7 linked regions of the Callithrix jacchus genome follow. The protein of the gene in region 5 purifies or fractionates together with the protein of the main gene of each other region. This does not show direct contact. Links are inferred from orthologs where the notes say so. Each region holds a gene or a part of one and is shown on either strand. Other genes may lie near its edges. The genes, in order: BAG2, TXNDC9, DNAJB6, DNAJA1, tubulin alpha-1A chain, HAX1 and TCP11L2.

Region 1 (3,500 bases), on a different chromosome or scaffold from region 5:
AGCTGCTCTCTGCGGCTCACATTAAATGCTGTGGCCTAGAGCACACATACCAAAAGTCAAGCAAAAATTTACCCACACTTATCACAAACTCTTTAAAGCAGTGTAAAAGACGAGCCCCTTCTGTGGAGATGACTCTCACCGTCACTGATCTGCCTCATGTCCTGGCTGTTTTGGATACTGTGGATCATTTCCAGAAGGATTTCTTTCTCTTGCTCAACAGCAGTTGCTGCTTCTCTCAAAGCTTCAACCCTATGGAAATTGGGGAAAAAAAACCAGTTACTGTATGGAGGATGTTCTTCCTGTTAATTTTCTTTCTCTCTCATTTCAGCCCAAATCAAGTTTAAAGATCACCACTTTTCAAAAATTCTTCATTCTTGCTTTAAAATTCTTTTTCTATTTTTATCCATTTGTCTTTCTCCCATTTCCTCTCAGCTCATAAGGTAATCATTCTCTTTACTGTTTGTCTAATAGCACTTATTTTTTTTATTAGATCTGTATCATTTGTATATTTTGAATTTATATCTCATTCTGTTTTTGCTTTTTTTCACTTTGCATCCAGGTTCTTATGAGTACTTTTTTTTTGAGACAGAGTCTTGCTTTGTCACCCAGCTGGAGCACACTGACACGATCTCACTGCATCCTCCACCCGCTGGGTTTAAGTGATTCTTGTGCCTCAGCCTCCAGGCCCGGCTAATTTTTGTATTTTTACTAGAGACGGGATTTCACCATGTTGGCCAGGCTGGTCTCAAACTCCTGAACTCAAATGATCTGCCCGTTGCAGACTTCCAAAGTGCTGGGATTCAGGTGTGAGCCACCGCACCCAGCCCCCATGTGAACTTCTAATCAGTTGCTTCTAATTGCTGTATAATACCCCATGCGTACACCTACCTGATTTTTCCTCTCCACTCTCCCAGAGATGTACAATCAGGTTGTCTACCAGATTCTCATTACACTATAAATAACACTTCTATGAATAAACATCCCTTTTGGACCTTGGTGAGGATTTCCTTAGGACATATACCAGGGCAGCATTGCTGAGACACGGGGTATATGTACTATGCTTCTAACTTAGTACTACGATTATTCTGCAGAATACCTGTATTCTTCATCCACTCTCCACAGCAAAGCACAGGAGTCCTCGTATCCTTACCAGCACTCCACATTTTCCAACTTACTACCAGTCTAATAGAAATACACTGATATGTCAGTGTTAACGTGCATTTTCCTAATAATTTCAGACATCTTTTTGTATCGTTAGCCTGTTCATAGACTTTTCCTATTTTGTTTTTCTATTTGTAAACAGGAGTTACTGTCCCCTTGTTGATATGTATACTCAAGAGATTCTTATTGGACACAGATATTGCAACCATCTCTCATCCTCTCATATAGGCCCCATGTCTGGGATGTCTTACACTAAAGAGAGACATTTATTTTGAGGTGATCAAATCCATTTTTTTTTTTTTTTTTTGCTTTAAGGCTTATGCTTTCGAAGTTTTGACCTAAGGTCTTCCCCCACCCCTTGGTCATATTTTCCTACTATTAACTTTCTAGTTCTACCTTCCTTATATTTATGTCTTTAATCCACCTAGAATCAACCCTTGTATGTAGTAGTTCGGTAAGGATGTTGTTTTATTTTTTTTTCCCAAATAGCCATTTTCCCCAACATTATTTACCAAACAATCCATCTTTCCCCTAGCAAATGTATATTAAGTTTATCTCTAAAATCTCTATCTCATGCATTAGTATATTTAACTGTTCTTATACCAGTGCCCAGTTTTTTTTTTTTTAATAGCACCAGCCTCATACTACATTTTACTATTTGGTAGAGCAGGCCCCTCAATCTTCTTTAAAGATAACTTAGCTATTTATGGACTTTTATATCTCCATATAAACTCTAGGCTAAATTTATTGTGTTTCTCAAAAATCAAGAGAAATTAGACATCTTTATAACATCATTCTGTTAAAGGGCGTGATCTATGTCTCTTCATTTATTCAGATCGTCTATAGAGTTCTGATGTATTCTTCATAGTAATCTTTGTGGATATTGTTGCTGTTGTGAATTTATATTTTCTAGTTGATTTTTACTGGTTTGAGAAGTGCTGGTTTTGTAGGTTTATCTCGTCGCTGACGACCTTAATTTACATATACTCATTTTAGTGTTCAGTCTATTGATTCTGTTGGTTCTTCTGGGTTAATGATCGTATCATCTGCAGTAGTTTTTATTTCTTCCTTCCCAATCCTATTACCTTTTTTTTTTTTAAGAAAAGGTCCTCCAGTCTTCCAGTACTGTATTAAACAGTGGCAATGATGGAAGTGTCTTTGTCTTTTCCCAAGTTTAAGGGAAAGTCCCTGTGGTTTTTTTGTGTGTTAAGTCCTGTTCAAACTATAGAAGCACTACTTTCTCCACCTCCCTCAACTGCACACACATGCACTCACTATACATACACATGAATATACCCAGTCACTAAAAAGCTAAGCTGTGGAATCATGGGAGCAACATAAAAATACACATATTGTATATTTAACCTGTTCTGTACTTCCAGGGCACCTTCTTATTATGAATTACAGTAACTAAGTCACCAACTTTTGCAAAATGAAATAGTGACAGACCTATCCCCAGTATTTGGATGGTCTGAGAAAATACAAGGTCATAAAGATCTAATCCTAATTGCTGTCTTAAGTGTGCACAGAAAGAACAACTTCACCAATGTTTTAGCATGTTCAATTCCATAAAAGGATCCTCCCCTACCCCAAGCACACACATGCCTTTTCCCCCTTTGGTTACCCACCTATTATACCCCAAAATAGTACTGACAGGCTGTAAAATCACAAGGTATCTTTATTCTTCAAGATATTAAACACATGTCAATCAATGAGAGCTTGTTATGTTGCTCAGGTTGGCCTTGAACTCATGGCCTCGCCTCCTCAAGTGCCAGGACAACTGGGCGGAGCCACCGCGGCCCCCAAAACTCATGTCAAACTTTGTGTTTATAAGAGCCAGTAAAAGCAAAGAACTGGGAAGAATCTCGTGACAAATTTGGCTAGAGAACACACTCAAATTACAATATTCTACAGAGTAATAGTAATGCAAGTATCAGGCCCTATTACAGGACTATTCCCTATTTACTTAAACATTTTACATTAGCAGTCTTTCAGAAAGATAAACTAGGGCCCAGAATGTAAGAAAGAGACCGAGTTGGCAATGAATACTTATACTAAAAGCACAAATCATGACCCCAATAAGTATTTAGACAAATGACACAGGTAAATCATGTGACTGGTAAAGAGAAGATGCTGAAAGAAGAGATTAATTTTTCAACACTTTTTTGGTTTGTATTCAATTGTAAGATGACAAAGAGAGAACAATGTTATTCTGAAAAGGAAAGTTTCATTTACTAGTTATAGCAGTCAGATCATGTTGTTAACAAAATAAGATAAAAAAGACATTCTAGGAAAAAAAATAAGCCTGTCATATGAAGAAAATATTTTATCATTAAATG
Region 2 (4,296 bases), on a different chromosome or scaffold from region 5:
TCCGACCCTCCCGGCGCGGCCGGGAACCCTCAAATGACTGTCCCGCTCCTCAGGCCGGGGAAAAGATAGCTACGGGACCGAGGCTCGGCTGGGAGGATCCGCCCGCCGTCTAGGCCCTAAGTGCCCGCCCGGCCCGGGGGCGTGGGCCCGCGCCGCCCAGTCTGGGCCCTGGCCCAGTGCCGCACGAGAGTGGTCGCGAGCCTGGACCCCGATCCAACCCCGCGCCCGGCGAGACCCGCACACCCCCCAGAGCCACGGCGGCCGCCGCCGTACGCACTCAACCCCTAGCTACCTGTCTTCGCTCTTGTTTTTCTGTTTCTTCCCCATTGCTTGTCAACTGGCGCTCGGCCCCTCTATTCGGTCTCCAGCAGACCCACTGTCTCCTGGCTCACTTTGGTCTCCGCTCAGCTCCTTTCCCCAAGTGCTGCCGCCGCTCGCACCCGGCTCTCCACAGACCCGCGCACTGGAACAGGGCACATATGGTGTGAATTCTCAGTGCGCAAGCGCATCGCCCCGCCGCTTCGGCGTGAGGACGCAGGGCGCGGCTCATCGAGAGCTGCGCTTCGGGTAGAGCGTCTTTAGTTGACCCGTCGGCCAGGCAGGAGCCCGAGCGCCCCCTCCCCGAAAAGCGTCCGCCACAAGCCGACGCCCGCGCGGATTCCAGGTTCTAGAACCCGGAGGTGGACAATGAAGCTGTTAGTTCTCCAACCCAGCCCTCTCCCGACGGGTAACGCACGCTTTGATTCAGGAGTAGGCCTGGGCTTCCCTTTATATCTTTGTATTCTCAGCTGTACGAAGTTCAGTAAAGAACGATAATGAGTACTCTGGGGTTTGCGAGAGAGAGAGACAAATCCAGGACAAAATAGGAACCTCTCAGTAACATCCGTGCATTATGCATTATGTACAGTCACTGAATAAAACATAGAACAGGACATACCCGATCAATTCCCTAACATAGGTCTTCATTTTTATGCTCAAAGCAAGAGCAAGTTCTAAAAATTCCTGTGTTTAGGGGAGGCAAGGGGGAACCTACAGGAGTAGTGGAAAATGTTCTATATCTGGATCTGGACGGTGATATTTTGCGTTTTAACTATGCAGAAGGTAATTGTGCTGTATGTGTTTATGCCTCGACTTTAAGAAAAAGAAAAATGTTCATTCAACAGAACGGAAACGCAGTTCGAGCGTCATTGCTGAGCAGGAGTGCAGCTGTCTCATTTCCAGTCTCGCGCACTGGATCGTGAGTTCTGAAGCACCGTCCTGAGAAAGTCCGACCACGCCAGCCTGCGCACTAAAAAACTGCAACTCCCAGCATGCCTTCCAGTTCGGCCGTGTACCGGGAGAAAAGCAAGGGCCGAAAACCTCGGGTTCCGGGCTGCTGAGCGGCAGGCGCACGCGCAGAACTGCTCCCACCCGCTCTCCCGCCCCTTCCTCGGGCGTCCAAGGTGATATCGCGCGAGGTCCGCAGCCAATACGGAGGCGGAAGTGACGGCTGGTTTGTAGCTGCCGGCAGGTATTGCAAGGCTAAAGCTAGAGTGGACCTCTCTTTTGAAACTGCTGCTCTCTCACTTCTCAGGCATCACCGAGAGCTCAGGTGAGGCAGAGGATAATGAGCAAAATCCGACCACTACGTCCGGGTGCTGGTGGACACTACGTTGCTCCACATCCGGAGCGGGGGGGGGCCCCGAGGCCCCGGCACCGGCACCGGCACCGGTGTTGGTGTCCTTCGGAGGCTCTCGCACATGCGCACGAGCAGGCGTTGAAGTTGGGGCCGCCGGGACTGTGCCCTCCCCCGTCTCCCCGGGCACTGGGTTGCCATTGGGGAGGTACCTGGGTGCGGTTAGGGACCAGGCCCCTTGATTGTTTTGGCGGATACCTGTAAGGATGTCCAGGAAATGACTAGGGAATTTGAGGACGCGCTGTGTCCCACCTTTCCAGCGGAGTAGTAAAAAGGAAGAATCAGAGGCTGTGGTTTGACGAATAAAAAGCTAACGGAGTTGTTGCATGGTCTGCTTACCCGGTTCTCAATGCTCTAACCACCAACACTTACCCCCAGAATACCTGCTCTTAATCGCTTCTGTTTCCATTTATCCCAGAATTAAATTCTGGCCTCATCCTTAAAGCATTCTCTGTGCTTATCTCTGGAGCACAGGTTCTAATGTATAATTCAGTAACTTATTTTCTCCTTCCAGCCCTCTCCCTGAGGGTCGCAGTCCTACTGACATTTTCCTTGGGCAGTAGGAAGTGTGGAAATCTTTTGCTATTTGAAATACAGTACCTTTCCAATTTTATAGCACTTACAAGGAGCTTACAATTTGGTTTTTTAAACTCAAATACTTTTGAAACTTAACAGCGTAGTAATTTGAACGGAAGCGAGGCAAATGTTCATTCAACATTAAACATGTTTATTGAGTACCTTTTGTGTTCTGTGGCGATACAAAGATGAAATCAAGTATACTTTTCAAATGCTTTTCCTGTAAAGAAGAAGGAATCAGAATTGAAGTTTGCAAGAATATTTCTCTTCAGCTCAGCGTTTATAGAGGGCCTGTGTGGGTCATGATCTGTGTCAGAAGCTGAGTTAATGAATTCACACTCTGTTATGAAATTTTGGGTGCTTCGGTAGTATTTGCAAACGTATCGTAGTTTATAGACATGCAACAGCCTTCTGCTTTGTTAGACAAATTATAAATAATTTCTGGGTTAATAACCCCGAGAGACACATAAAATTGCCCTCTAATTGTTGGTATAAAATATTCCCATTTCTTTTAAAATTAAAGTTTCTACTAATTGCTAGTAGAAAATGCTCCATTTCTTTTAAAGCATATAGTCATGTGTCACGTAAGGACATTTCAGTTTTATGAGATTATAATACTGTATTTTATTGTACCTTTTCTATGTTTAGATACACAAATGCCATTATGTTACAGTTGCCTACAGTATTCAGTACGGTAACATGCTGTACAGATTTGTAACCTAGGAGTAATAGGCTGTATGGTATAACCTCGGTGTGTAGCAGGCTGCACCTTCTGGGTTGTGTAAATACAGTCTATGGTTGGGCGCGGTGGCTCACGCCTGTAATCCCAGCACTTTGGGAGGCCGAGGCAGGTGGATCACGAGGTCAAGAGATCGAGACCATCCTGGTCAACATGGTGAAACCCCGTCTCTACTAAAAATACAAAAAATTAGCTGGGCATGGTGGCGCGTGCCTGTAATCCCAGCTACTCAGGAGGCTGAGGCAGGAGAATTGCCTGAACCCAGGAGGTAGTTCTCCTGGGAATTGCAGGAGAACCTCTCCGAAGGTTGCAGTGAGCTGAGATCGCGCCATTGCACTCCAGCCTGGGTAACAAGAACGAAACTCCGTCTCAAAAAAAAAAAAAAAAAAAATACAGTCTATGATGTTTGAACAACATCAAAATCACCTAATGCACACATTTCTCAGAATGTATTCCCATTGTTTTATGGGTTTTTGTTTTTTGAGACAGGATCTAGCTCTATGGCCCAGGATGGAGTGGAAATGGTGTGATCTCAGCCCACTGCAACCTTGGCCTCCTGGGCTCAAGCTATCCTCCTCCCATCTCAGTCTCCCTAGTAGCTGGGCTAGAGGCTCACACCACCTTGCCTGCTAATTTTTCTATTTTTAGTAGAGACAGGGTTTTACCATGTTTGAGACCAGACTGGTCTCAAACTCCTGAACTCAAGCAGTCTGTCCAGCTTGGCCTCCCAATGTGCTGGGATTACAGGTGTGAGCCATGGCACCCAGCCTAGAATGTATTCTCATTGTGAAGTGATGCATGACTCTAATTGAGATAGGTCTTTCTTTCTAATCTGGATTAGTTATATTTTGAAACTCTTATTTTGCACAGAGGAGTGATGATGGGGAAAAAATTTTTTTTAAGTGTTTGGAGTGTTTTACATCAAAGTTAAGAACACTGTCAGTAAATGGAAACCAATATTAATTTTTTAGCCTCGTCGATTTTTTTTTGTTAGGTAATAGGAGAACAAGAATGGACATTGATGCTTAGGGAACACCAGGCACTGTTCTTTACATAAATGGTAATGAGACGTTTTAGGAAACTAAATGTCTGGAAATGAAACTCATTTGGGTAGTGACTGTGAAAAAAATCTGTGTTTTGCTCAACTCTACTCTGTGTCTGTTTAAAGTTTAATATATATATTTGTAAAACCACAGTAGCTGTACCTTCCTATTGTTCGCAGTTGTTTCTGATTTCTCTTTTCTGTTGGTAAAGAACACTGAATGTCCGTCTATATCACTAGGTATAACTTCACAACTCATTTCTC
Region 3 (3,500 bases), on a different chromosome or scaffold from region 5:
GCTTGTTTTCCCTGGAGCCCCTTGTCACAGAAAACTTGTGACTCTTGGCCAGGCCTCTGGGTGCCTGGAAGATCCCCCTCTCGTCTTTTTGCGGGATTTGCAAGTCCTGGGCAAGGTCCTTGAAACAGGCCCGTCCTCCCCGGCAGGGCTGACGGCTCCTGCTGTTGCCTCCAGCCGTCTGACTGGTCCCTGCGTGGAGCAGGTCCTGTCTGAGCTCCCGGGAGTAAGCAAGCTTCCACTCAGGACTCAGCCAGGTGTGCGGCCCCCAGGCCTGGGCGGGTCTAGGGCATGATTTTTTTTAGGTTGGAAATGAGCTCTCACTTGAGATACACTCCTCAAAATACCAAACTTACTCGCCCCGAGGCTCCCCACACGCCCCTCAGGTGGGGCATCTCCTGGCTTCTCCCGCTTCCTTTCCTCTGCCTTTTCCAAAGAGCCGCCTCCTGACTTTGGAAGCAGGTCCTTGGTGGCCTCTGCACAGCGGCCAGTGGCACGTAGCCCGCTCTGTTCCTTTCTGTAACTGAGGCGCACTCTCCTAAACACGCAGCATGGAAGGCCTGGTGTTTCACAGCACGTGTATCTTGTGCTGCTCCTGTAGGGCGGTCAGGATGCACCCGCTTGCATGGAAAGCACCCTAAGGTGGCAGTCTCTGCCACGCACAGGCCGCGGGTGAGTGTGGCATGTTGCGTGGCTGCGGGTGTGGACTGGACCTGCAGGCTCATCCCTATCTACATGCACGTCCCCTTCCGTGGAGAGCTGTTGGGTCCGGGCAGTGCTCTGAGGTGAGAGCCACAGCACATTTGAGAGTCCGCATGTGTCTTCCCCACTGTGGTGCAGCATGTGTGCGAGCCACATTTGGTGGGCCTGCACCCTGTGACATATTGGTCAGTGTGGCGGCCATCTGCTGGGCAGGGAAAATGTGTCTGGTTGAAGCCGGGTACCTGGCCCACCTATGGCTGTGATTCTCTGGGGCGAGTCCTGAGTGTGGGTGGGGTCTTGGGTCCCCAAGAGGGTTGTGAGCAGGCTCCTCCCTGTGGGGCATGCCGCCACTTTGGGGGTTGTTGTGCGGGTCTTCAGAGGGTCCTCCTGGCAGGTCGGGGGCCCATGCATGTGGGACCCAGTTCCACCTGCCTGCTGCCGGTCATGAGCCCTGTGCTCAGTCACGTCACTCAGGTTGACAGTTGCCTGACTCAACAGCAGGACCGTCTCCTGCACCCACGTGGACACATGCAGAGTCTGAGACTATGTCGGCAGGGCTGCAACCAGGCCTTTATTGGTGGCATGTTGCATCGACTGTTCAGAGGGTGGGTGTCTTTCTCCCTGCACTTCAGCTGGGTCAGTCAGTGGCCGCCGGTGACTTCGGCAACAGGGAGACGCAAGGTTACTTCCCTCAAGCAAGAAATGGGACTTTGACGCTGGATGCCACAGAGCCCACAAGCATGAGGCCGGTGCACAGCAAGGCTTTGCCTGCAGAAAGGCCTCACTGTGTGGCCAGCGCTGGGGGAGCGGAGGAGATGTTGTGGGCACCCTCCCCACAGGTGGACGTGGCTCTGCGCAAGCCCCGTGTGTGTTCTGAAGGAGGGCCCAGGGCAGGGTCCTGGCCCTGAGGTGTGGCCGTCCCCAGGGTGGGCTTCCAGCTCTGCCGCTGAACTCGGGTAGGGGGAGTCGCTCACTTCTCTGCAGGGTGGTGAAGTTCTCTGAATAATGGGAGCCGTTCTCGACATGCACCTTGGAAAGTCAGCTCAGGCTTTGAGTTTTAGGTGTGGCTGAGGCAGATGACCTCACTTCTTTGCTTTTTGTTCTTAACATGGGGAGATACTTAGAAAACACATTTGGCTCTTACTGGGGAAGCAGTGCTGTTCCGCACCGTGTTTTACAAGCCGTGTTTCCTTAGGATTCAAAGAAGGTGGCAAGAGGAAGAAGCAGAAGCAGAGAGAGGAGTCGAAGAAGAAGAAGTCGGCCAAAGGCAATCACTAGACTGGACTTGCAGGCGCGCGCTGCCCCCAGAGCTGGCGCTCCACCATGCTCGGCGCGCGGCCATGTGCACGCGCTAGGTAGCAGCGTGGGGTCAGGACTGTCTGGCGGCTATACTCGCTCAGCAGGATTATGCAATCACCGATCAGTCAGGGCAGGGGTCAGGAGGTGGGGCTGATGGTGCGGGTGGCGGGCATGGACACTGGGGACGGGGCGTGGCCGTGGCTCTCCATCTGCCTCTCCCAGCACTCAATCTGCCAGAGTTTTCCTCTAGAGCTTCCGGATCCTCTTCATTCTTTTCGGCCATGCAACCACTCCGCATGCTGCTGGGGTCTTTGTAGCATTAGGGGAACAGCAGGGCAGACAGCCGAGGGCTTTCACTAAACCACGCGCTTTCCTGTGGCGGTGCTGTGTTTGGAATTAGAGGGTAATTCAGTAGAGTGTGACTTAGAGAATGCCCTAAGGGACGCACTGAATCCTGGCGGCCAGGGCACCTTTTCCTCAGGGCAACATGGCCACATGAACAGCATCATCAATCACAGCACATGTAAAATCATTCCTGTGCTTCATCTTTTAGTTTCCATCTGCTGGTAGTCCAAATTCAACTTCAGATATTGTGTAGGTCTTGCTAGATTCCACGTTTTTTTCCTGGGATCCATAATTCTTTTTAGCAAAAGGTTTTTGCTCAGCAGCCCCCTCCCTAGTGTTCCTGGGTCACGACTGTGCTGGGGAAAACGGCAGGTCATGACACATGCCCCAAACACCCAGAGATGGCACCAGGAGGTTGAGCCAGTGTTCAGCTTGTGAGCAAAGTCACCGCACTCTGACTAGATGCTGCCCTGCCCACTGCCAGCAGCCCTTTCATTTGCATCGTGTACTGCGGCTTCTCTTTTTATCGTTACTGAGCATGGAGCGGAATTCGGGGTTGCCTTGCCTTCCCTTCTTCCCTGCACGCCCCCCCCCCGGCCCCCGCCGCCCACTGTCCTTCCCTTTCCCATGAGGACCTGCTGTTCCTGTTGCTTTTCCTTTGTCCTCTGGGACGTGAGGGTGCTGTGAGAGGCTTGGGTGTGATGTGAAGACGTCAGCAGTTTTAATCTAGCGATGTTGAAGCTGGGAATTCTTTGTCACTATCTATGGAGCACTGACCCAGGCTTGGGAGCCGGAAACAGGCGCGATCTGTGATTTTATTTAGCACACCTGTTGCCCAAGAGTTGGCTTCGTTTGTTTGGTTTTGGGGGGAGCGGAGTGGTATCTGATGCTTTCTGCGGACAATGTAACTCTCAATGCATCATGTATCTTAAGTGCCACCTACGTAAATAAAACATGAGCATATTGAATACAGCTCACCTGCCGTCCTCTGTAAGCACCATTAAGATGAATTAAGAGTAAAAGCAGTCCTGCAGCATCAGCATTATGAAGGATAAAGTGGCATTTTGCAGGCAGAAGTCTTGTTTCTGAAATGCATCACTGCAAGGTGAAGGTGTGACAATCCCAGCATTTTGGGAGGCCAAGGTGGGCAGATCACC
Region 4 (3,500 bases), on a different chromosome or scaffold from region 5:
TAAGTGGCTGCAATAGGATTCTATCACATGACTCATGATACTGGCCTCTCTGATCCCCCAAGGTTTTCCACCTAAGAATGTAGTGCATTGAAATGTAAAAGTAAGTTTCCTTGGCCAGTTTTTGAACTTAATAAATCTGTTTTCCCCTTAATGGGCCCATGCCTAGGGTTTATATTTTGAGGTGTTCTTGATACCAATAGCATATAGAGTAAGTCTTCACTTAATGTTGTTGATAGGTTCTTGGAAACTGGGACTTCTGGCAAATTGATCTCAATGTCATGTCACTATAACACAGGGGAGGGGGAAAAATGGTCTTGTTATGTGTCATTTCATTTAAAGCAATTTCCAAGAACCTATCAATGATGGACACTAAGCAAGGACTTTAAATTAATACCCTAACTATGTAGCAAGTGAAGACATTTGTGCTATGCCTATCCTTGTTTTTATTCAGGAAAACCTAGCTGAGTTTAATTGCTTCACTAGCATAACAAGTTATTTTGCATGGATAGGCGATTAAAGACAGATTGTTTAATTTTGTTAGTGTATGATACTGATATTGCTTTAAGTCTTTATATAAGAGGTAAACAGTGAAGTATTTGGGTTAATGGTTATGGTTGGGGTTTACTTGAAAGTATTTGTGGGGGGCATGGGCAGGGGTATAATACATGAAATATTAATCATGAGTTAATAACTGCTGAAGCCAGATTGAATGGATATGTAGAAATTCATTGTACTGTTGGCTCTGTTTATACAGGATTAATATTTTCCATACTAAAAGGTGAAACAAGATTGCTCTGTTAGATAACCAGAGTGATCTCAGGAAATAATCAGGAGATAACTGCTTCGGTGTAATACTGTACAAACACAGGTTTTCTTACACCAGTTATGTTTTAAGAAATGTTGTCCAAACCCTTACTGAACTAAAATATGTGGGTCAGAGGTGAGGGCTGGGGAAATCTTAGTTTTTTAAAAAAAAAGCCTGTTTAAAAATTTCTTGCCCTGTTAGAAAATAAATACTCTCCTTGTATTTTATGGACCATATGAGCTAAGGGAGTGTCTAGTTTTGATTGATTTTTTTTTTCTTTTTCTTTTTCTTTTTTTTTTTTTTTTTTTTTGTTAATTTAAAGGAGACAAGGTCTCGAACTCCTGTGGTCCAGGGTGCTATTCTCAGGCTAGCCTCCTGACTCGGCCTCCCCAAAGTGTAATTTTAAGGGGAACAAATTGAATAGGTTTTTTTTGTTTGTTTTATTGTTTGTTTTGAGATGCAGTCTTGCTCTGTTGCCCAGGCTGGAGTGCAGTGGCACAATCTCAGCTCACTGCAACCTCCGCCTCCTGGGTTCTTGCAATTCTCCTGCCTTGGCCTCCCAAGTAGGTGAGACTACAGGCACATGCTGCCACGCCCATCTAATTTTTTTTTTATTTTAGTAGAGATGGGGTTTCACCGTGTTGCCCGCCCGCCTCTGCCTCCCAAAGTGCTGGGATTACAGGTCTGAGCCACCGTGCTCGGCCAAACTGAATAGTTCTTACACAAAAATACGAATTTTTGGCAGGCACCATGACTCACACCTATAATCCTAACCCTATAGGTGGCCAAGGCAGGAGGATCCCTTGAGTCCAGGAGTTCAACACCAGCCTGAGCAACATAATGAGAATCTCTATCTCTATTTTAAAAAAAATTCAAAAATTAGCTGGTTTGTGGTCCTATCTACTCAGGATGCTGAAGTGGGAGGATCACTTGAGCCCAGGAGATCAAGGCTGCAGTGAGCCATGTTTGTGCCACTGCACTCCAGCGTGCACAACAGAGCAATAGCCTATCTCAAGAATTAAGATTATAGATTTTAAATTTTTCTAGTTTCATATATATAAATACTACAACAGTGAGAAGGGTCTTGATTTACATTGCTGTTAGACTTAAGTAGTTTGATATGTTCTTATAAGTAATGAAATTGAAATAGTTAATTAACATTTTTTGGTTATAACCAATGTTTGCCAGTCACTGGTTTAGTACCAGCTTATAACTGTTTAGTTGATACACTTGACAATCATAATGTGTTGGTGTGGGAAAGTTGAAACTTGGGTAGGATATGCAGCTTACTTTCCCAGAGTAATCCAGCCAGTGAATAGCAGCCCTGAGATTTGAAGGCTGGTCCTTGCTTCTAGAGTTTGTATTTCCCACTATGATACCTTTCTTCAGGCACAGATTGGACTGAACTACTAAGAAAGTGGGCTTTCTTAGTCATTTCTGTGATTTTTATGCATAAACATCTATGTATAGATTTTATTATTCTGACCTTAAGAGTATAAAATTAATGTTTTAAGGCATGAAAGATGGCCAGAAGATAACATTCCATGGTGAAGGAGACCAAGAACCAGGACTGGAGCCAGGAGATATAATCATTGTGTTAGATCAGAAGGACCATGCTGTTTTTACTCGGTAAAGAATTTTATAAACCATTCAAATTGACATCTTTACATATTTGGGTTGTTGGTTTTGGTTGTTTATAATGTGTTTACCATTACTGTTGCAACATATTTCCTGGAGATATGCTAGGAAAATATAGCAAGACAGTTATACTGTGTATAATGTATCTTGTAATAGATTGTTAACCATTGTTTGAATCATAAGAGCTTGAATACATGGGATCAGATTTTTAGCTTTTTGTCTCTTGAGTATGGAACATTGAAAATGTGTTTCAGTTAGATGTTTTGTGTGAACCTAAACACCAAATGGCTGGGGGAAAACATCCCTGGACAAAAGTTTGCCCTCAGTTTTTGTAAAACAATTTAAAGTAAGTGCCTTAAAGCTTTCACCAATTTTCAATCCTAAGTTTAAGATAAATTGAATTGCTTTTAATTGTAAATACCCAAAAGCATCTCTGTAGGAAACTTAAATTAGAACTCAATATTTAAGTATAAATTCAGGTCCACTCCAAAAACATACCAAATGGTAAAGAGCATCAACACAATTAAAAAAAAAAAAAAAAAAAAAAATTCAGGTCTACCATTGTGAACTAAATAATACCAAGTTTATGATGAACTTAACACTGAAGCACAAGAAAGACTGATGGTTAATAGCAAATGTTTGTGTTAAATATATTCACAGCTAATATCAAAACATAACAGACCCTCTGTGTATGCTATATTCCCAGCAACTTGGGAGGCTGAGGTGGGAGGATCACTTGAGGCCAGGAATTCTAGCTATTGGGGAGGCCAAGGCAGGAGAGTGGCTTGAACTCAGGAGTTGAAGGTTATGATCATGCCACTGCATTATAGCTTGGGTGACAGAGCCCATCTTTTTTTTTTTTTTTTAAGTGGACTGGAGGTGAAATTGGGAACATCTTAAACTTGTTTAGAATTATTAATATTTTGGCTGGTGGTGGCTCACACCTGTAGTCTCAACACTTTGGGAGGCCAAGGCAGGTGGATCACCTGAGGTTGGGAGTTTGAGACCAGCCTGGCCAACATGGTGAAATGCCATCTCTGTTAAAAATACAGAAATT
Region 5 (4,120 bases):
ACTTATTCTGCATAGCACATCATTGCTGAGAATGAAGCCTTTCTAAATAGCAAGAGAATGTTACTACAATTTATTTCCTATGGGTGAAAGCAAAGCCTTTTTGTCCCAAGAGGCAACTGAGCAACCACCAGAGTCTCTAGTTGAATAGCAAGGGTGTGAGGCTGGCTAAAATTCCCACAGTTAGAATCCACCTGCAGGAGGATATTTACCAAATTGACATAAGAACTACATAAAAAGGAAATGCAGTTATTGAGCTGATGTTTCACCGTTGTCTGTGGATGGAGGCAACATAGCAAAATGGTCTGCTTTTTACATTATGTTATTCTCTTCTTTTAAATTTGGTTTCTTGGTAATTATTATTTTGTTTGCTACTTTTCAGACAAAAGTACAATGCATAAATATAACTGCACACATGTAGGACTAACTTGTGAACTCAATTATTTCTCCTTGTATTTTCCCAATTCTATATCAGGAAAGATGATGCATTCCAAGGACAATGTACCACACAAAATGTGTTACATAGACTTCTCATAAAGGAATACCTCTAATAAACTATTATAACTACTCTGCGTTCACTAGCTATTGTTTAGTGCCATATTAGAACTATGTGTTCGCTTCTTTATTTAGTATGGTTATTCTGCCCATCTTCCAGTTTTGTTTAGCTATTTGGGTGTGCGTGTGCCTGCAAAAGAAGGTCTGAAAATAAATTAGTTGAACCTGAGAAACCATTTTGAATGATTGTATTAATAAATATTTTTTTAAATTAAAAAAAATCACATTTACCCAAGCCATTTTCAGCAATCACGCCCATTTTCTCTCCCACTTTATTTTTAAAGCAATTAGAGACGCTGAACCCTAACAAAACAAAATGTAGTCAAGTCTAATATACTACGAGGAGGGGCTGGCAGTAATTTTCCTCTAAATATTGCATCTGAACACAAATTCTGTTATTAAGTGTAGGGTAAAAAAACCCTCATATAGATAATTTTAACCGCAGTTTGAGATTCAAGCAATATAAAGTCTTCCAACCCAGTCCCCTTTCTTCTCCTTCCGCCCCTCCCCAACCCCACCCCATAATGGATGCTCGGCAGACTGCTTCTGCACGGTCTCTTTGTCTAAAGGATGCAAACAGTCTATGGATGCTAGAGAAAAAAGGGTGGGGGAGAGATTACCTCATCCCACGTCGTTTGCACCAATCACCAGTCTCCTGTCATGACTTCTCTGGGCAGATTGGGGGTCTGGACCAACAGGAAAAGGCCCCAGCCCATCCCCATGGCGACCGAGTTGTATATAGGGAGCCGCATCCGCCCATGTGCCTCAGGTTCTCTTACATCGACCGCCTAAGAGTCGCGCTGTAAGAAGCAACAACTTCTCCTCGTCTCCGCCATCTGCTCGGCAGCCGCGAAGCAGCAACCATGGTGAGAATCGGCTTCCGCTCTTTGTGGCGGTTGGGTGGAGTCAGCGCCCCCAGGGTCTACTTGGAAAACTTTTAAGCACTTTTCTTTCGTAAGCTGTCTGGGCGAGGATCGTCGTGTGCTTTAGCTTTGTCTGCCCCAAGTCCTCAAGCCCCGCCGCCACCGCCGCAGTGGGGGTGCAGGATCCAGGCAAGGACTGCGCCCAGGGCTCAGCCAAGCGCTGGGGAGGGACAAAGGCGGCGCCTGGGCGCCTGTGTCGTCCGAGAGCCTTTCGGGGCTGAGGACAGCCCCAGCCTGTCTGCCGCGACCGAGGGGTCTGGGGCGTCCCGGCTGGGCCCCGTGGCTGTGCGCCCGGTTTCGTTGCCCCCGAGGGGCCTCTTCCGTCTCGCGTCGTTCTCTGAGGACCGCGAGAGGAGGAGGTGTCCAAAAAGAGCGGGGACCGTGGAGCTGGGGGATGCGGGAGCGGGGACGGGAACAAAGCGCAGCCTGGGGTTAGCGTGGGAAGACCCCTCGCGGTCGTTGGCGTTTTTTCCCGGGAAAATACAGTGAGTTTCTGCCGGAGCCCCCGGCAGCGGGTGTCAGGGAGGCGCAGGGGCGGAGTTGTTTGTTTCTGGCTTCTAGGGCGATGGAGCCACGGGGCGGGGTTCGCCCTCACTGAACCTCCTCTGTCAGTCGCAGACTTTAAGAAACGCCTTTCGTTATTGCGAAACTGTAGGCTCCAAAAGGGTTCTTCACTATTATATGTTAGATGACTTTTTTTTTTCTTGAGCAAAATCACAATTCACTTGGCAAGCTCTTCAACGTCTGCCCTGACCGACTGGAGACAGACAGAGAGAGCGAGAGAGAGCGTGTGTGTGTGTGTGTGTGTGTGTGTGTGTGTCTGGGTGTCTGGGTGTCTGGGCTGCATGTTCAGCGAGAGAGAAAGCCCACTTTGTGAGCTCCCGGGTTACCCTGATAGTCAGGATCTAGGAAACGCCCTTCCCCGCCGCCAGCCCCCACCACGTCAGTGAATAGACAATGGAAGTGGTAGCCCTAAAGACCACAGAGGAAGAAAACCTCTATTGGATGCAAAGAATATTAATATTATGTGGTAGGTGAAGAATCTCAAGATGAAAATACTATTTTGTTTTTTTAAATAAATATTTCATTATCCTTCCACTGGGCTTTTATTCTTTGGTAGCTTATGTGATGCTTCTTTCTAACTTAGGAACCTTTTTGTATTTTTTTTTTTTAAGATACAGATAATTTTTCAGCTTTTACAATGGAGAAGATCTGGAAAAACCTTTTTTAAAAAAGAAAAGTGATGAAATTGCTATAGACAAAGAAGGATTATATTCTGTATCCCGTTGTCCTTTGTTCTAGTGAATCTTCATTAATTCATTTCAATTCAGGCACATGGTCCTGGGCTGGGTCAGAGGAGGAAAACTGGCAAAACAGCACAATGAGATCATGTAGGCAGTTGCTGGAAATAGAGCTTGCTCTGTTAAATAATGTAGCAGACAGTACAGGCTAGCACCAGGCACTGCAAATACAGCAATGCAGCAATGCAGAAGGCAGACCTTGTCTAGCTTCTAAACCCTTGGTATTGATGGATTCTGCAGACAGACTGCGGAAGGGTGTGGCTTCTTGCCTCAGCGGCAGTACAGATGTCCCTGTTACAATATCAAGTCCTATTCAGAAGAAACTTTAATCTTTATTTAAAAGCAAACAAAGCAGTACAATTAATCCCAATTAAGTCATGATTGGATTTACTTTATTTTACAAAATTTGTGCTTCGAATGCGGAATACTTTTTAAATATGAAAAGTCTTCTACTATTCAAGCAAGGTAGTAAGAACAATGGGCTGGTACCATGTGCTGAACAGGGCCAAGGCGACATTGTTATTCAGACCACACCATATGCAGCATTTGTAGCAGATAATTTTCCTTAATCTTTGTAGCATGCTGGGGATATGACCTCAAATAATTTTGAAAAATACCTGTATGTTATTAGAAATATTTTTAGAAATGTACTCAAAGTTTGAAATGCTAATACAGCTTAATTATACAATTTTTTTCACTTTTCCTTCCTACAGCGTGAGTGCATCTCCATCCATGTTGGCCAGGCTGGTGTCCAGATTGGCAATGCCTGCTGGGAGCTCTACTGCCTGGAACATGGCATCCAGCCCGATGGCCAGATGCCAAGTGACAAGACCATTGGGGGAGGAGATGACTCCTTCAACACCTTCTTCAGTGAGACGGGTGCTGGCAAGCACGTGCCCCGGGCAGTGTTTGTAGACCTGGAACCCACGGTCATTGGTGAGTTGGCCTCGGTAACCCAAGTGAGATCCCAGGGTGCTGGGACAGGAGGTCTGTCCTGGGGGATCTGCTGGTCACTCGCTCACTTGCCCAGTCCCTCTGTCCTTCTCTCCCTCCTCCTCCAGATGAAGTTCGCACTGGCACCTACCGCCAGCTCTTCCACCCTGAACAGCTCATCACAGGCAAGGAAGATGCTGCCAATAACTATGCCCGAGGGCACTACACCATCGGCAAGGAGATCATTGACCTTGTGTTGGACCGAATTCGTAAACTGGTATGTTTCTTTTCAAGAATAAAGTAAATTAATCTGCCTTAAAAGGACATTTGAAATAATGCTGGTTTTTTTTTTTTTTTTGAGACAGAGTTTTGCTCTTGTTACCCAAGCTGGAGTGCAATGGTGTGATCTCG
Region 6 (4,058 bases), on a different chromosome or scaffold from region 5:
GAAAAAAAAAAAAATGAGGCCAGGCACAGTGGCTAATGCACTTTGGGATGCCGAGGTGGGTGGATCACCTGAGGTCAGGAGTTCGATATGGTGAAACCCTGTCTCTATAAAAAATAACCAAGGTAGGGCTTGGTGGCTGGGGCCTCTAATCCCAGCTACTCGGGGGACTGAGGCAGGAGAATCACTTGAACCCGGGAGGGAGACATTGCAGTAAGCCGAGATGGCGCCACTGCACTCTAGCCTAGGAAACTCTTATCTCAAAAAAAAAAAAAAAAAAGGGACACTTCTTTATAGTCCTCAATTTGTCCCTTCTCAGGATTCAACTAGCTTCCTTTCACTCGCTTTCTTAAAAATCCTTTGGTTGGTTGCAGACAGCCTGCTTAGAAAAAAAAATCCTGGCCAGTCGCGGTGACTCGCGCCTGTAATTCCAACACTTGGGGAGGTCGAGAAGGAAGAATCACGAGGTCAGGAGATCGAGACCATCCTGGCTCTGAAACCCGTCTCTACTAAAAATACAAAAAAATTAGCCGGATGTGGTGGCACGCGCCTGTAGTCTCGGCTACTCGGGAGGCTGAAGCAGCAGAATCGTTTGAACCCGGGAGGCGGAGGTTGCAGTGAGCCGAGATTGCGCCACTGCACTCCAGCCCGGGTGACAGAGACTCCGTCTCCCCACCCCAAAAAAATCCTGTATGGTTATAACAAACTCCCTAGTAGCTAGAGAGATGAAGTCTATGTGTCACTTATGTCTTGATCTCTTCTCTGGGGAATTCAATACTAAAAGGAGCTTGGAGAAACATTTTTTTGTTCATCCCTCTAACAGCAGACATCACCCAGGTCAGTCAAAAGCTTCGGAGTAAGGGGCGAGGTGGTTTCGGCGGTGAGGCTGGCCAGCACCGGGGGTGGGGAGGTTTGAGGGATGCCCTCAAGCCGGCCCATTTGTGCGGCTGGGAGGCCCTCTGGCGGCTTTATCCGGGTGCCTTCCAGAGTCAAACCCTCGAAATTGCTTTCCGGACCGAGTTGGTCTGCAGAAAGGAGAACAGATTTAAGAGGAAGGCGGTCATAGGTAAACTGAACGTCCGTCACGCCCACTCCTGTCACGGAAACTGGCCTCTAAAAGGTGGGGTAAAGATAAAGCCTCTGAAATTTGAGGAAGACCTTCCGCTCTGTCTCCCTTTCACGTCCGACTTACAGTCTTTTACGACAGTATTCGGATCGCGCGCGGGCTTGCTTTCCGGCAGCGTGGGCTGACGTCTCGCTCGTTTTCCTACGGGGCTGCGCAGGTTTCACTCTTCTGCGAATCGGCCAGTGGAGGGGTTTAAATGTTCGAGTGCCAATACGGGAATGAGCCTCTTTGATCTCTTCCGGGGCTTTTTCGGCTTTCCTGGACCTCGGAGGTGAGAGTAGGTCCGGGTCGGACAAGGGTGAGGTCGTCTGAGAAGAGTTTGACCCCTTACGTCTTATTTTTGGGAAAACATCCTCTGGCCTACTCCTTCAACCCCTGTGAAGTCGTAACATTGAGCACTCGCCCCGCCACAGTAACCAGGGTGGTCGTTAAGAGGAGAAACAGCAAACTAAGCCTTTCTCCAACCTGGGGTGATGCAACAAGGACCCGGGCGGGATAGACAATTGGGGTCTGGGGAAGAGGACAGCGGGCTTGTGACCAGGACCTTGGGAGAGAGGGGAGGGGCTGGGGCACACTTAAGGAAAACTGGGGAAAGGTGTTTGAAGGGAGTTGCGAGCTGAGGTCTGACTTTGATAAAAAACAAAACCAGAACTGTCGGACATTGTATTAATATTTTGATGTGGCAGCCAGCCCTCCGACCCTCTCCCCAGCTTCCCAAATCGCTTGCTCTTGTCCCACTTTGCCACCCATGAGTTGATTTTATGGCTTAAGTCGTGCTGAAATCTTGGTGGCCAATCTGCCTCCACTCTCAGCCACAGAGATCCCTTTTTTGGAGGGATGACTCGAGATGAAGATGATGAGGAGGAAGAGGAAGAAGGAGGCGCATGGGGCCGTGGGAACCCCAGGTTCGATAGTCCTCAGCCCCCTGAGGAATTTGGCTTCAGCTTCAGCCCAGGAGGAGGGATACGTTTACATGATAACTTCGGCTTTGATGACCTAGTACGAGATTTCAATAGCATCTTCAGCCATATGGGGGCCTGGACCTTGCCTTCTCATCTTCCTGGTGTGTGGCTTTCCCTGAGGCACAACCTGTGGTTTCTAGTGGGTTGGTGGGTGAAATAAAGAGCCTGCAGGGAGTAGCTGGGGGATGGGACGTGTGAGAAGATGGATAATTTCAGGGAGATGTATACAGCCCAAGTTCTTTCCCACCCCAGCAAACACCTGCCACCTTTCTGCAGAACTTCCAGGTCCTGAGTCAGAGACACCTGGTGAGAGACTGCGGGAGGGACAAACACTTCGGGACTCAATGCTTAAGTATCCAGATAGTCACCAGCCCAGGATCTTTGGGGGGGTCTTGGAGAGTGATGCAAGAAGTGAATCCCCCAAACCAACACCATACTGGGGCTTCCAGAGACCATTTCATAGGGTGAGTATCCCATCTGGGCCTGAAGTGAGAGCTTGTGAGAGACTACTAATTAAAAGTGCAAAGATTGGCCAGGTGCGGTAGCTTAACGCCTGTAATCCCAGCACTTTAGGAGGCTGAGACAGGCGGATCACCTGAAGTGAAGAGTTAGAGACCAGCCTGGTCAACATGGTGAAATACCATCTCTGCCAAAAATACAAAAAATTAGTAGGTTGTGGTGGCAGGCACCTGTTTTCCCAGCTACTCAGGAGGCCAAGGCAGGAGAGGGGCTTGAACCCAGGAGGCAGAGGTTGCAGTGAGCTGAGATCACACCATTGCACTCCAGCCTAGGCGACAAGAGCAAGACTTCATCTCAAAAAAAATAAATAAATAAAAGGCCAGGTGTAGTGGCTCACGCCTGTAATCCCAGAGACAGGAGGATCACCTGAGGTCAGGCATTTGACACCAGCCTGGCTAACATGGTGAAACCCCATCTCTAATAAAAATAAAAAATTAGCTGGATGTGGTGGTGTGCCCCTGTAGTCCCAGCTACTTGGGAGGCTGAGGCAGGATAATTGCTTGAACCCAGGACAAGGACATTTCAGTGAGCTGAGATCATGCCACTGCTCTCCAGCCTGGGTGATAGAGTAAGACTGTCTCAAAAAAAAAAAAAAAAAAAAAGGCCAGGTACAATGGCTCACGCCTGTAATCCCAGCCCACTTTGGGAGGTGGGCAGATCACAAGGTTAGGAGTTCAAGACCAGCCTGATCAACATGGTGAAACCCCTTCTCTACTTAAACTACAAAAAAATTAGCCAGGCATGGTGGTACATGCCTGTAATCCCAGCTATCTGGGCTGAGGCAGGAGAATCGCTTGAACCCAGGAGGTGGAAGGGGAAAAAAGGTGCAAAAAGGGTGCAAATATTGGACTTTTTTTTTTTTTTTGAGAACGAATCTTGCTCTTTCACCGAGGCTGGAGGGCAGTTGCATGTTCTCAGCTTACTGCAACCTCTGATTCCCAGGATCAAGTGATTCTCCTACCTCATCCCCCTGAGGAGCTGGGATTATAGTCACCCCCCAAACACCCAGCTAATTTTTGTATTTCTGGTAGAGATGAGGTTTCATCATGTTGGCCAGGCTACTTTCGAGCTCCTGACCTCAGGCGATCCACCTGCCTCAACCTTCCAAAGTGCTGGGATTAGAAGCATGAGCCATTGTGCCTGGCCAAAGATTGCATTTCTTGTTTGAATCTGATAGCTTTGGGTTGGAATCCTAGCCCCCCATTTAGTGTGTTTATATGTTTTCTATATTAAGCTCATGGGGTTTTTTTTTAGAGGGAAATGGGTGTTCTGTTTCTTAAAAAAACAAAACAAAAATACCACTGGTCTACATAATTCTTGGATAAGGCAGGATTGTGCACAGAGGATAGGAATATATTAGTTGAGGAAATTTTTCTGGTAGAAGGATATATAAAACAGCCAGGAAGGAGGAAACAGTGGGTAAATAGAGCTATTCTGAATGGAATTCTCTGTCC
Region 7 (3,500 bases), about 39 Mb from region 5:
GCGCCACCACACCTGGCTAATCTTTGTATTTTTTAGTAGAGACAGGATTTCACCATATTGAACAGGCTGGTCTCAAACTCCTAACCTCATGATCCGCCTGCCATGGCCTCCCAAAATGCTGGGATTACAGCCGTGAGCCACTGTGCCCAGCCCACTTCTTCTTTTTGAATTTCTTTTCCCAGACCTTCACGTGGTTCTTTCCCTCTCCCCCTTCAAGTCTGAACACAAAGGTCACTGACTTAAAGAGGCCTTAAGATGGTTACATCCAATGAAATCAGCACCCTCTCCATAACCGTCCACCACATTGTCTTACTGTATCATTCTCGTAGGTCTAAAATTGTCATTCATTTTTAATGTGTTTGCCTTTTTATCCATGCTTACATACAAATGCAGTCTTTTCACTGCAGTATCTGCAGTTCCTATTACAGGGCCCCACATATATTGGATGTTCAATAAACATTTATTGACTAATACAAATGAATTTTAAAGTTAAAATTTGTATTTTTTATGAAGTAAAACAAAAGACAGGGCATATCTGTACTTTAAATTCAAAAGTGGTAAATACAGGCCATAGTGAAGGTGCTTTAGGCTCAGACAGACCCTGGGGTTTGAATCCTGGCTTTACTGAGGCCATACCTGAACTTCACACTTCCCAAGGATAAGATGGGGACTACACTACTCACTTCAAATGCATGCTCACTAGCATAAAATTGCCTTGCACAAAAATACTTTGATACTATGGAAAATATTGATCTTTCTTCCCTTCAGTTTCTGCCACGGCTAGAAAACGTGAGCAAGGGAAACAAAGTGCAGAGTTAGGACACATTGCCTTTGTTTAAAAATAAAGTCTCAGCCGGGCACAGTGGCTCACACCTGTAATCCCAGCACTTTGGGAGGCTGAAGTGGTGGATGACCTGAGTTCAGGAGTTCAAGACCAGCCTGCCCAACATGGTAAAACTCTGTCTCTACTAAAAATACAAAAATTAGCTGGGTGTGGTGGTGTGTGCCTGTAATCCCAGCTACTCGGAAGGCTGAGGCATGAGAATCACTTGGACGCAGGAGGCAGAGTCTGCTGTAAGCTGAGATTGTGTCACTGCACTCCAGCCTGGGCAACAGAGCAAGACCCTGTCTCAAAAAAATAAATAAATAAAGTCTCATATCACAGTATTAACTATTGATTTTCATATGACCCTCCACAATGGCCACGTTTTTCCTTTTTTGATTATGGCTAACTCATATTTTATCAAATATTTTCCTGGTAAAATCCATCAGGTTTTACCAGGAAATAATAGGAATGCTTATAAATGATTTTAAGCAAGTCCCTCCCTGCCCCCATACTTTCCCAGAAAATTAAAGAGATACAAAGTACCTTGCAGACTTTAGGAAAACTTAAATTTCAACTCTGACGTCCCTTAGGGACCTATAAAAATGTTTTAGCTCATTTCTTGTTGTTCATTCAAGCCAGGTATGTATGGCTTATAAAGTCAAGAGCAAAAGTCCATCCTAGCAATGTTTGCCTTTCTCGTTGTTCTGGAGTGTTCCTGGAGAGTCTCAAACTTTGGAAATGGCATTTATATTGAACAAATTTCCTCATGCAATTAGAATAAGTTTTAATATTTAAAATTGCCGAGTAGAATGTAATATTTGTAGTTACAAACTTTAACTCATGTTTCGAAAGCTAATTTTCCTCTTTCATAGCATTATTGTATATGTAGCTATTTATACTTTAAGAAGAAAAATTAGGAGATATACTTATCAAATTATGAATTCATTCACCATGCATTTGTCAAGTACTCACTATATATCAGGCACTGTGTTAGGCACAATGGTAAGTACCTAGATGGACTTACAGACTCTGCTTGGGAAAGGTATATCTCTGTGGGAAAACAGCTTCATCAGAAATTACAGTGCAGAGACATAGGTGGTTCCCTAAAAGCTGTTGCTAAATGGCATAGGAGTTAGGTAGGAATGTGTATTTTAATGTGCACCTATTTTAAGGCATTGACATAAAGGGTGAAGCCAAGTAGCCACTTATTCTATTGTAAGCTCTTCCTAGGAAGGCTTCTATTTTGGCAGTTTGGTCTGGCTGTCTTTAAATGGGACACCTAAGCTTTAGCTGGCAGGCGTTCAAATGCATGTGCCCTTGGGGCTAATGTGTTCTAGTCCATGCCATGAAATTTCAGCTGGTGAGGAAGAGCAACTTTGCCATCTCATTCCAAAAATGTAGAACAAGTCTGAAGATCTATATAGAAGAGTAGATACATAAATTTTGAAATCTCTTTAGGACAGAATTTTATGAAGTTATTGAAAGCATTTTCAAGGTCTAGGGAAAACAGTACAGAATGCTAAATGAAAAGTACACTCTGTTAATGCATTCAACAAGAAACATATTCAAAAGATTAATAATGGGATTAAGGGCAATTGCTCTGCTTTTTAAAATATTTTCTAAGATTTCTACAGTGAGGATATTTCTTGTATAATCAGGAAAAACAATGATGATTATTTTAAACAACAATCCCTTTCATTGCTATAGTTTGGCTGGTCGCGTGAAGCACATTGTTCACCAGGCCTTCTGGGACGTCTTGGCTTCAGAACTAAATGCTGACCCTCCTGAGTTTGAACATGCCATCAAACTGTTCGAAGAAATCAGAGAGGCAAGTTGCTGTTTCGTTTGCGTCAGTTAGTGTCTTACTCCAGGTGGGCTGCTGTAACAGACTGGCATAGCCTGGGTGGCTTATGAACAATATAAATTTATTTCTCACAGTACTGGAGGTTAGGAAGTCCAAGATCAGAGCACCAGCAGATTTGGCATCTGGTGAGGGCTCATTTCCTGAGTGAGCTCATAGGTGGTGCCTTCTTGCTGTGTCCTCACATGGCAGAAAGGTCAAAGCAGCACTTCAGTGTCTCTTTATAAGGGTACAATTCCATTCATGTGGACCTCACCCTTATGACTTAATCACCTCCCAAAGGCCTCACCTCCTAATTCCATTCCATTGGGGATTGGGTTTCAACATACGAATTTGGTGACAGAAGAAAACACAGATATTGAAAGTATAGCAGTTTTTTCCCCAAAAGATTGTTTTATGTCCTTTAGTATTGGCCACTCTTTTTCACTGGCAGGGTTTACCTTATCCTGCCCCTCCTGGAGTAGAATGAAGGCTGAGAAAATAGTGCCGTGGACACAGCTTAGAGTGATGCTTATAACACAGAGACTCTGGAGTTAGATTGTTGTCCTGGTTTAGTGATGAGTTCTCTCTTTAAGTCTCTATTTCCTGAGTACTTACAGGGTAGTCATAAGAGCTAAATGAGGTGACGGTTGTAATTTTAGTTAACATTTGCAAGGCACTTGCTCTATTTCAAGCACTAGATTGCTCATTTCTTCTTCTTTTTTTTTTTGAGACAGAGTTTTGCTCTTGTTACCCAGGCTGGAGTGCAATGGCGCGATCTTGGCTCACTACAACCTTCGCCTCTTGGGTTCAGGCAATTCTCCTGCCTCAGCC

The links.
Region 1: the proteins of tubulin alpha-1A chain (region 5) and BAG2 purify together in Homo sapiens (affinity purification with mass spectrometry; 4 studies listed by BioGRID and IntAct, with this or other methods). This does not show direct contact. The link is inferred for Callithrix jacchus from reciprocal best matches to the Homo sapiens genes TUBA1A and BAG2.
Region 2: the proteins of tubulin alpha-1A chain (region 5) and TXNDC9 purify together in Homo sapiens (affinity purification with mass spectrometry; 3 studies listed by BioGRID and IntAct, counting the BioPlex papers as one, with this or other methods). This does not show direct contact. The link is inferred for Callithrix jacchus from reciprocal best matches to the Homo sapiens genes TUBA1A and TXNDC9.
Region 3: the proteins of tubulin alpha-1A chain (region 5) and DNAJB6 purify together in Homo sapiens (pull-down; 3 studies listed by BioGRID and IntAct, with this or other methods). This does not show direct contact. The link is inferred for Callithrix jacchus from reciprocal best matches to the Homo sapiens genes TUBA1A and DNAJB6.
Region 4: the proteins of tubulin alpha-1A chain (region 5) and DNAJA1 purify together in Homo sapiens (affinity purification with mass spectrometry; 3 studies listed by BioGRID and IntAct, with this or other methods). This does not show direct contact. The link is inferred for Callithrix jacchus from reciprocal best matches to the Homo sapiens genes TUBA1A and DNAJA1.
Region 6: the proteins of tubulin alpha-1A chain (region 5) and HAX1 purify together in Homo sapiens (affinity purification with mass spectrometry; 3 studies listed by BioGRID and IntAct, with this or other methods). This does not show direct contact. The link is inferred for Callithrix jacchus from reciprocal best matches to the Homo sapiens genes TUBA1A and HAX1.
Region 7: the proteins of tubulin alpha-1A chain (region 5) and TCP11L2 purify together in Homo sapiens (affinity purification with mass spectrometry; 3 studies listed by BioGRID and IntAct, counting the BioPlex papers as one, with this or other methods). This does not show direct contact. The link is inferred for Callithrix jacchus from reciprocal best matches to the Homo sapiens genes TUBA1A and TCP11L2.

What each region holds. Positions count from the first base shown.
Region 1 is NC_133505.1:65,548,568-65,552,067, reverse strand, and holds part of BAG2 (BAG family molecular chaperone regulator 2), read right to left. Parts: intron 250-3,500; coding exon 140-249; intron 1-139. UniProt on the Homo sapiens protein: Co-chaperone for HSP70 and HSC70 chaperone proteins. Acts as a nucleotide-exchange factor (NEF) promoting the release of ADP from the HSP70 and HSC70 proteins thereby triggering client/substrate protein release.
Region 2 is NC_133515.1:8,929,975-8,934,270, reverse strand, and holds the start of TXNDC9 (thioredoxin domain-containing protein 9), read left to right. Parts: upstream 1-1,496; 5' UTR 1,497-1,591; intron 1,592-4,296. Other genes in the region: EIF5B (eukaryotic translation initiation factor 5B), read right to left, coding at 293-327. UniProt on the Homo sapiens protein: Significantly diminishes the chaperonin TCP1 complex ATPase activity, thus negatively impacts protein folding, including that of actin or tubulin.
Region 3 is NC_133512.1:90,847,109-90,850,608, reverse strand, and holds the end of DNAJB6 (dnaJ homolog subfamily B member 6), read left to right. Parts: intron 1-1,894; coding exon 1,895-2,054; 3' UTR 2,055-3,315; downstream 3,316-3,500. UniProt on the Homo sapiens protein: Has a stimulatory effect on the ATPase activity of HSP70 in a dose-dependent and time-dependent manner and hence acts as a co-chaperone of HSP70. Plays an indispensable role in the organization of KRT8/KRT18 filaments.
Region 4 is NC_133502.1:140,224,980-140,228,479, forward strand, and holds part of DNAJA1 (dnaJ homolog subfamily A member 1), read left to right. Parts: intron 1-2,319; coding exon 2,320-2,434; intron 2,435-3,500.
Region 5 is NC_133510.1:70,370,387-70,374,506, forward strand, and holds the start of tubulin alpha-1A chain, read left to right. Parts: upstream 1-1,320; 5' UTR 1,321-1,415; coding exon 1,416-1,418; intron 1,419-3,489; coding exon 3,490-3,712; intron 3,713-3,837; coding exon 3,838-3,986; intron 3,987-4,120. UniProt on the Homo sapiens protein: Tubulin is the major constituent of microtubules, a cylinder consisting of laterally associated linear protofilaments composed of alpha- and beta-tubulin heterodimers.
Region 6 is NC_133519.1:14,693,611-14,697,668, forward strand, and holds the start of HAX1 (HCLS1-associated protein X-1), read left to right. Parts: upstream 1-1,258; 5' UTR 1,259-1,341; coding exon 1,342-1,394; intron 1,395-1,935; coding exon 1,936-2,186; intron 2,187-2,337; coding exon 2,338-2,549; intron 2,550-4,058. UniProt on the Homo sapiens protein: Recruits the Arp2/3 complex to the cell cortex and regulates reorganization of the cortical actin cytoskeleton via its interaction with KCNC3 and the Arp2/3 complex. Slows down the rate of inactivation of KCNC3 channels. Promotes GNA13-mediated cell migration.
Region 7 is NC_133510.1:109,182,468-109,185,967, forward strand, and holds part of TCP11L2 (T-complex protein 11-like protein 2), read left to right. Parts: intron 1-2,533; coding exon 2,534-2,654; intron 2,655-3,500. UniProt on the Homo sapiens protein: Promotes the migration of muscle-derived satellite cells (MDSCs) during differentiation throught interaction with FMNL2 and therefore may participate in microfilament assembly.